Ovis aries: one gene and its partner. The protein of the gene in region 1 interacts with the protein of each later gene in a pairwise test. Links are inferred from orthologs where the notes say so. Each region holds a gene or a part of one and is shown in the gene's direction. Other genes may lie near its edges. The genes, in order: FCHSD2 and ABCF3.

Evidence for each region.
Region 2: the proteins of FCHSD2 (region 1) and ABCF3 interact in binary tests that used the Homo sapiens proteins (3 or more experiments, as listed by UniProt). The two-hybrid records come from large-scale screens. The link is inferred for Ovis aries from reciprocal best matches to the Homo sapiens genes FCHSD2 and ABCF3.

Annotation. Positions count from the first base shown.
Region 1 is NC_056068.1:51,102,105-51,105,914, reverse strand, and holds part of FCHSD2 (F-BAR and double SH3 domains protein 2), read left to right. Parts: intron 1-1,709; coding exon 1,710-1,839; intron 1,840-1,981; coding exon 1,982-2,064; intron 2,065-2,175; coding exon of another isoform or gene 2,176-2,199; exon of another isoform or gene 2,200-2,392; coding exon of another isoform or gene 2,393-2,461; exon of another isoform or gene 2,462-3,810. UniProt on the Homo sapiens protein: Adapter protein that plays a role in endocytosis via clathrin-coated pits. Contributes to the internalization of cell surface receptors, such as integrin ITGB1 and transferrin receptor.
Region 2 is NC_056054.1:203,764,112-203,768,471, reverse strand, and holds the start of ABCF3 (ATP-binding cassette sub-family F member 3), read left to right. Parts: upstream 1-1,542; 5' UTR 1,543-1,612; exon of another isoform or gene 1,613-3,597; 5' UTR 3,598-3,640; coding exon of another isoform or gene 3,641-3,714; 5' UTR 3,715-4,360. Other genes in the region: AP2M1 (AP-2 complex subunit mu), read left to right, coding at 3,641-3,714.

The DNA of each region.
Region 1 (3,810 bases):
AAGATAGTTCAAGAAAATAACTCCCAAAGAGTCTGTTGACCCACACAGAAGTGGGCTGTGGTCTCAACCTCACCCTTACCACTCCAGTTTTTGGTTGCCAAGTTACCACAAGACTGAATTTGGGAAGCAGAGACTTGTCAGCCAGGCTCTGTGTAATGGCTATATTACACTTCATGTCTCCCACATTCTGTTCTCTGAATTGAGGAACCAAAATACTACACTGTGTGTGACCTACAAAAGACTGGTTTGGCGAGGAGAAAGAAAGAAACCGGAGAGGGAATGTGTTGTCTCTGTGGTTAGTTTATACAGTAAAAATATTAGCAGCCTCTTTCTCTCCCTCACTGTCAGAACCTCCCTGCCCAGCCCAGGCACTGCTAATCCTTTTCAGAGAACTAATGAGACTCCCAAAGCCCCATGTACTCATGTGGCCTGAGGCTTACTTCATCATAGCATAACTTGTCTTTACGGGAAACTCCTAATTCAGATATGTCACAACAGGCCTGGCAGGTCCAGGACCGTAAGGAATATGTCTGCCCATCTTGCTTGTACAGTATTATGACCACTGAACATGACAATTACAAAGCCTGGGGAAGTCAGAAACTCAGCCAATTTTTTTTTTTTTCACCAAAAAATAGAACTTGTTTTTTCTTTTGTTCTTCACTGAATTGACTACTTTGATATGTTTTCAGTAGAACTCTAGAGAATGGTTTGACTTGGTAAATGTTGAATTTAAACTAAAATCTATGAGATCTATAATGAGATCTATGGAAGGAAAAAGTTAAATGCAACACAAAACTGGTGGTAGTGTGGTTATTCTAGGCTCATTTGCTTTTTTATTTTACTCTTTTTTAATTATGAAAGGATGATAACACATTCACAGGAGACTTGGAAAATACAGAGCAAGGTTGTATATAGTTCCACCATGTTTTACAATTATTTTTTAAGTAGATAAATTAAGATTTTTAGATGGAGTTTCAATATCAAACTCTCAAACATTAGTAGAATGAATATACAGAGAAGTAGGATATAGTAGGCCTGAAAAGCACTGTGAACCAACTCAATGTAATTAAGATTTATATAATTTTCACACAATAGTAGGATACAAATTCTCTTCAAGTTCCTATAGACTGTAAATTAGGAGACACTGGAACATATCCAGGGACATAAAACAAGGTGCAAAAATGTCATGGTCTAAAGGTATTGAAATCAAACAGAGTCTGTTCTCTTAGCACTGTGGAATTATGTTAGAAATCAATATCAAAAGATACTTTAAAATAACCCACATATTTTCAAGTGCGGCTTTCCAGGTGGTGCTAGTGGTAAGAACCTGCCTGCCAGCGCAGGAGACGTAAGAGTCGTGGGTTCGATCTCTGGGTCGAGAAGATCCCCTGGAGGAGGGCATGGCAATCCATTCCAGTATTCTTGCCTGGAGAATTCCCACAGACAGAGGAGCATGGCGAGCTACAATCCATGGGGTCACAAAGAGCCAGACACAACTGAAGGGACTGAGCATGCATGCATTTACCAAGAGAGATCATCTTCAACTTAGCCATCAAACTAGGCTTATTTGCTTCTAATTAGGGTGGTCAAAAAAGTTAATAGTCATAATGTAGCTCCGGAGAAGGGTTATTTGCCAGGAGCAGTCAGAGAAGCCAGCTGACCTCCCTCCTGAAGTGAGCACTGTGTAACCTCTGTTCCCTTTGCTGCAGGTCTCTCCTTCCCCCAAACCGCCCAGCTCCCTGCCTCCACTGCCGCTGTATGACCAGCCTCCCAGCAGCCCTTACCCCAGCCCAGATAAGAGGGGCTCCCAGTACTTCTCCCGCTCTCCTTCAGCAAACGGTAAGGGGTCTCGTGGGCATTTGTCAAAATACACTTTCATTTGGAAAGCCACGTGTTCATCTGAAGGGTAAACAGATCTGAACTACCATCTGTATTGCTCAGCAACACAAATAAATTGAGCTGCTTTGATTCCCTCCCTTAGAAAACAGCTTCCATGCCGAATCGCCAGGATTCTCGCAGGCATCCAGGCATACTCCTGAGACCTCATATGGGAAACTGCGACCTGTAAGTCTCTTATCTAGCTGAGTAATAGAGTGCATAGTTCTTCCAGATTGAAAGTTAGAAATTAATGGAGCTCCATGACCCCTGTGTTGTTACTAATTTCTTCCATGCCAGGTTGCGATGGACTTGGGAAGTTAAACAGAGCTCTGGAAAAGGAAGGCTATAAAAATAAACACATCTTGGAAGGTCTAGCTTATTACGCTGGCACTTTCCTCACTAAGCCATGGTGAGATTGCCAGGTGATAACTATGGAAAGTGTATTTAAAGTATAACAAGTTCTGTGAGCATTAAAGCAGTCTAATTGTGAAACAGAATTTTTTTTTTTTTCCAGCAGGCGTTTATTGAGAACTTTTTTCCCAGGCCTCTACTTTCCTCTTCGACAGACAGTGAGATGATATAAGATACATGCCCTTTTGAGGTTTGAGAGCTTCTATTCTCAAAGAAATTATTTGTTCTTTACAAATAATCACCTCTACCCACCCCTCACTCGGCTGTCATCAAATCCATCCGACTACCTCACTGTGAAATAGTTCTTCCAGGGTCATAACTTCCGCATGGTAATCTAGTTACATTTGCGGTTTTATTTTCCTAGACCCTCTTATCAGCATTTGACACAATTCTTTGAGCCACTTACAACCTTTGTCTTTGTTCATTCAGCAGATACTGAGTGCCTTGTTAAGGACTTGGTTCGTGATCCTAAATGTGATAGGAAGATGTTGTAAGATTGTAAACCAGATAGTGATATGACTGATTGTGCATTTTTAAAAATTATTTTTACTTAATAATTTTTATAATTTTATGTTGGCTGCACTTGGTCTTACTTGTAGCACGTGGGCTCTTTGTCACTGAGCATGGACTTCTCTTTAGTTGCAGTGAGTGGGCTTAGTTGCCTTGAAGCATGTGGGATCTTAGTTCCCCAACCAGGGATCAAGCCTATATCCCTTGAATTGGGAGACCACCAGGGACATCCCAGCTGTGCATTTTAAAAACACTACTGTGGCAGCTAGGTGGAAAATGAGTAGAAAGTGTCAGAATGAACAGGGGGAGTTGTTAGGAGGCTGGAGCAATGGTCCAAGCAAGAGAGGACAGTAATGTGAACTAGTGGGGAAGAGCAGTAGTGGAGAGAAGTGGACCCATTTGTTCCACCACACTTTTCCTGGTCTGCCTTCTACTTCCTGGCCTTCCTTTTCATTGGCCTCTGAGGGCTTCTCTGCCTTTACCCAGCTCTGTTGATGCCTCTCAGGGTTCCATCCACTAACCCCTTCCCTCTTTTTTTTTAATTTGTCTGGCTGCGTCAGGCTTTAGTTGCAGCAGGTGGAGTCTTTGTTGCATCGTGTGGGATCTTTTCGATGCGCTGCACGGAGTCTGTAGTGTGGGCTCCAGCGCACACAGGCTTCAGTAGCTGCTGTGTGCAGCCTCGGTATTTGGGCACTCAGGTCAGCCTCTCCGTTGTTCCATGGCATGTGAGATCTTAGTTCCCTGACTAAGGGTTGAACCCACGTCCCCTGCATTGCAAGGCAAATTCTTCACCATTGCGCAACCAGAGGAGTCCCAGGGCTACTGCTCTTAAAGTCGTTAAACTTACTCCTGAGTTATCTCATTTACTCCCAAGACTTTGATAACCATTTATTTCCTGACAGCTCCCAGATTTATAACTACCTATCCAATCTCTTCTCTGAGCTTCAGATCTGTGGAAATCTTAGTGTATATATATAGCAAACCCCCAAAACTCAGCAAAAAACTAGTTAA
Region 2 (4,360 bases), on another chromosome or scaffold:
AGATCTCCTGGAGAAGGAAATGGCAACCCACTCCAGTATTCTTGCCTGGAAAATCCCATGGACGGAGGAGACTGTTAGGCTACAGTCTATGAGGTCGCAAAGAGTCAGACACGACTGAGTGACTTCACTTTCTTTCACTTTCTTTAGGGTAGGTGTTGAGGACAAAGCTCCTAGAAAGGTAGGAGTAAGCCTTGAGTGCTGGTTCAAGAATTAGACGAGCCTGTATTCAGTCGCTTCATGGCTTAAGACTGTGACCCTGATCTGTAGGAGGTCAGATTTTCATCCTGCCATATTCTGGTTTCTATCAGGAGAATTCTAGGAATAGTAGGATTTGCAACTAGGTTTGCCCTTTCTTGCCCTTGCTTCCTCTCATGATGGGCTCGGCCCTGCCTAGGGAAGGCAACATGGTATATCTCCCTACAGAAAGAGAAGAGCCAACAGATGTTCTTCAGGTCCTGCAAGAGCCAGGCAGACCTTTCATGTGCTAGGATTGGCTCTGTCTCCTCTTAGCTTGAATGTGAAGATCATTTATCAAAGAAGGGATTTCAAATCCCATGTCCAGTTAAACTCAACTTGCCAATGGTTTTCTAAGCCACATGTATGCCTGTCAGTAGAAGACACACAGGTCCTGACCTTGAGGACCTCACAGGCCCATAGGTATATAGTTGAGGTAGAACACAAACATATTTTGAAAAATTTTAGCTTTTCTTCTAAATATTTGATTCCTTACTCCCTGCCCCGTACCTTAAGTCTTGATTCCTGGGAAAAGGCTCATGTCTAGAACAAATATACGATGCAAAAAAGCTTGGGGAAATCAGAGGTCATGTTATAAAGCAGTTAACTCAGCACAAACACTTCTACTGCCAAGTCCTGTGCGTGTGTGTGTGTGTCTGTATAAAATGACAATCAGTCCTCGGACTCTGGAGACTGAAAGGCCTACAGCAATTCAAGGCTTAACAGATGGGCTTCAACAAATGGCAGTAATCCTCTGCTGCTGCTGCTGCTAAGTCGCTTCAGTCGTGTCCGACTCTATGCGACCCCATAGACTGGACTATGCAGCCCACCAGGCTCCGCGGTCCCTGAGATTCTCCAGGCAAGAACACTGGAGTGGGTTGCCATTTCCTTCTCCAATACATGAAAGTGAAGTCGCTCAGTCGTGTCCAACTCTTAGCGACCCCAGGCTGAGGCTCTCACAAACTCTGAAAGAGGAACAAGAAGGATTGCAGAAACTACAATTCCCAGAATGCTCAATGAGGAAAAGGAAGTGAGCATAGCAGCGTATTCTGGATTGTGTATTGCGGGTGGGGCCGAATAAAGCCCTCCTACTTCACCCTCAAGGCACGCCTAGCCCCTCCTTCGAGTCTCGAAGGCTGTCGGTAGTTGTAGTTCTACGAAATCTAGGGGCGCTTAAAATTGTAAGAGATAAGGCCGAGAGGCCTGTTGGGATTTGTAGTCTGCGCCGTCGGCGGGTGCGCACGCGCAGTTGAGGCCGGGGCGGGGCCGCAACACTGCAGTGAAAGCCGAGGCAGCGGGCAGGCGAGCAGGGGGCGGGCGGACATCTTGGGATCCGGAGAGTGGCCGGGCCGGCCGAGCAGAGGGCCGCGGACACCAGGTGAGCTCGGGATCTCGCCATACGGGGTGAGGGAGGACGCCTCCCTGGCTTCCTAGCTTTGCCGTTCACTGCACTGCGCTACGCGGAAAGCAGCCCACACCCGGGAGTGGCCTCAGCCTTCAGATCAGAAAGGGAGCTGACGGCGGGGCGGGGGCGCCCGGGGCGCGGTTGCAGGACGGGCGCGGAGCGATGCCCTCCACCTGACCCGCCCGGAGCTTCGCTTGAGAGGGAGACCCTCTTGGAATCCTTCCAGACAGGGACGCCGCGCGGCGGCCCCCTCCCTGAGATCGTGACAACCTCCTAGCCCTCGGCGCCTCCTCCTCCCGGGGCAAGGACAATTCCCCCATCCCCTAGGACAGTGACACCTCCTTGTGCCGCCTCCTTGGACTGTGACAAGGTCCCCACTCTGCGGCACCCTCTCCTTGCAGTTGAGTGACAGCCCCCGCACGCCGTGGAACCATCTTTACCCGTGATGTCCTCCCCGGGGCGAAAAGCCCACCACCCGCGCATGCTTGTACACCTGCATACCACAGCAAGCTACGTCTCCCCAGCTTTCCCTTATTCACCACTGTTAGTCTCACCCTGCCGTGTTTTCCTCTTCAAAACCTTGACCTTTGCCATACTGGAAACTCTTTTCTCCAGGTGCCCCCACCAGCTCTGTTGCTGCTGTGGGCTCACTTGAGTACACTGCCTGGCTGTTGCTGCCAGTCTATCCCTTAACTAAATATTCCTTTCCTGATCTGGGCACCATCTCTGCTTCTCTGATGCCCTGAGTTCCCTACCACCTGATCCCTGTGAACTTGCTTCTTTGCCCAGGGCCCTACCTCCATTTTGCGCTTTCTCTCCTGGTCTCTGGGACTGAGGAATGGGAAGTGTCCACCACTTTGAGAGAATTATTCTCTTATCCTGGGACACCTTTACTGCTATAATAATACACTTTATTTTCCAGTTTAGAAACTGAAAGTCTCCTAAACTGCCCCTCTTGTGAAATTAACACCAAGGCTAATCCAGGAAATATAGAACTAAACCCTTTTTCTCCTTGCAAACAATCTGAATTAGTTGGACCCAAATAATTTAGATAGTTCCGGGATTCTGCCCCTTGTTTTTAGGCATTCAGGTCAGAAATGAATTATGTTGCAGGTCTGGAATCAGAATTTCTACTGGACGGATCTCTTGATCTTATGAACCTGCTCTCCCCTTCCTCACAACACCCCTGTATTCTTATTTACTTGGGAGCTGAGGGGGAGCTTCTCTATTTCAAAGAGAGGTGGTCAGAAATAACTAATAAGCTGCTTGGGTCACTGAAGTGTAGTCTGTCAGGGCTGGGGCCTTTCTTCTCTGCTCTTGCTTGTTTATTTGACTGCCTGGGAGAGGTTGGAGCAGCACTCCTGGGTTGGTGTCAGGGCCTTAGGGCTCTCTTCTCTCCTCCCTAATCCCTGCACCCCCTTTCCTAGAATGTTTAGACTTTTGTGATGTTTAGACTTTTGTGAATTAGAGAGTCAAAGGTTCAGGCCATGCTGCCTTTTCTGAAGGGTAGTGGAGGCTGAGAGTAGCGCTCCTAAAGTTTTGCCTGGGGGCTCCAGGCCTGAACCAGCTGGAGTAATTCCTACCGCCATTCCTGCAGCCGCAGGCAGGCCTTTGCAGTGACTCACCAGCTAGAGCCTGATTGAGAGTCTGCACAGGAAGGGGCCTTGCTGAGCTCAGCGCTGTGAAAGGGGGAGGGGGCTACTCTGGGCTCAGTCCCAGGAAAGGGAGGGTCAGAACGGCCTTAGAATCCTGGGCCTAAGTCCCTCTCCTTTTCTCCCAGTATGGGATAAACAGGAACTGGGGCCTGGTGAAAGGGAGGGGCTTGGCTGAAAGGACTGTAGGGTCACTTGCTGGAGGGTTGAATCAGGAAAAAGGCCCAGCCAGTGACCTGGACAGCCCCTTAGGGGACAGGGCTCAGATTCTGCCGCCTTCCCTTACACTGCCCCCATCTATCCTAGGTCTCTTCTCAGAGCGATGGGCTGCGAAGACTGAGCTGCCGCCATGATTGGAGGCTTATTCATCTATAATCACAAGGGGGAGGTGCTCATCTCCCGGGTCTACCGAGATGACATCGGGTGAGTGCCCTGGCTGAGCCAGCTGTGCCCCCACTCCCATCCCTCCTCTCCAGCATGCAGGGCCAGGTCTCTTTCTCCCAGAGGCTTGATCTGGACTGTTCCCCACCCCTTGCTGCATCCTGGATGCTCAGCTATTACAGCCTGGTTCCCATTAGGTCTGGTGGTATTGGCCAAGCAGCCAGTTGCTGGCCACTCAGTGGGACCTGTGAAATGGCAGGACCCCCACAGTCCTAGGAACTCCTAGCCTTGCTGCTTCCTGTTCCCTGTAGTGACAGACCTAGTTGCTGGAGATGAGTGCTTTTGCTTGAAGGGTTGATCCCTCCTCTGAGAAGGGAGATCTGTCTCTAGCAGGTGGAATTAGTGGTCATGCTGGCAGTACTAATCTAAGTCTTGCTCTCAAAAGCCCTTCTTGTGGTGAGAGCCTTCACTGGATTCTTCAGGCTGCCGAATCCTCTCCCACTCCCTTTCTCAGGAGTCAGGCTGCTGACTCAGCTGTTTTCAGTTCCTCTTGGCCACTCCAGGAAGAGAGGTGGTGAGCAAGCCTGAGGCATTCTCTGGGTCACCCAGAGATGGGCAGGGAGGCTGTGCTGCTTTTCTGGTCTATCAGAGTAGACCAGGAACAGCTCCTTGTCTGTGTCCTCAGACC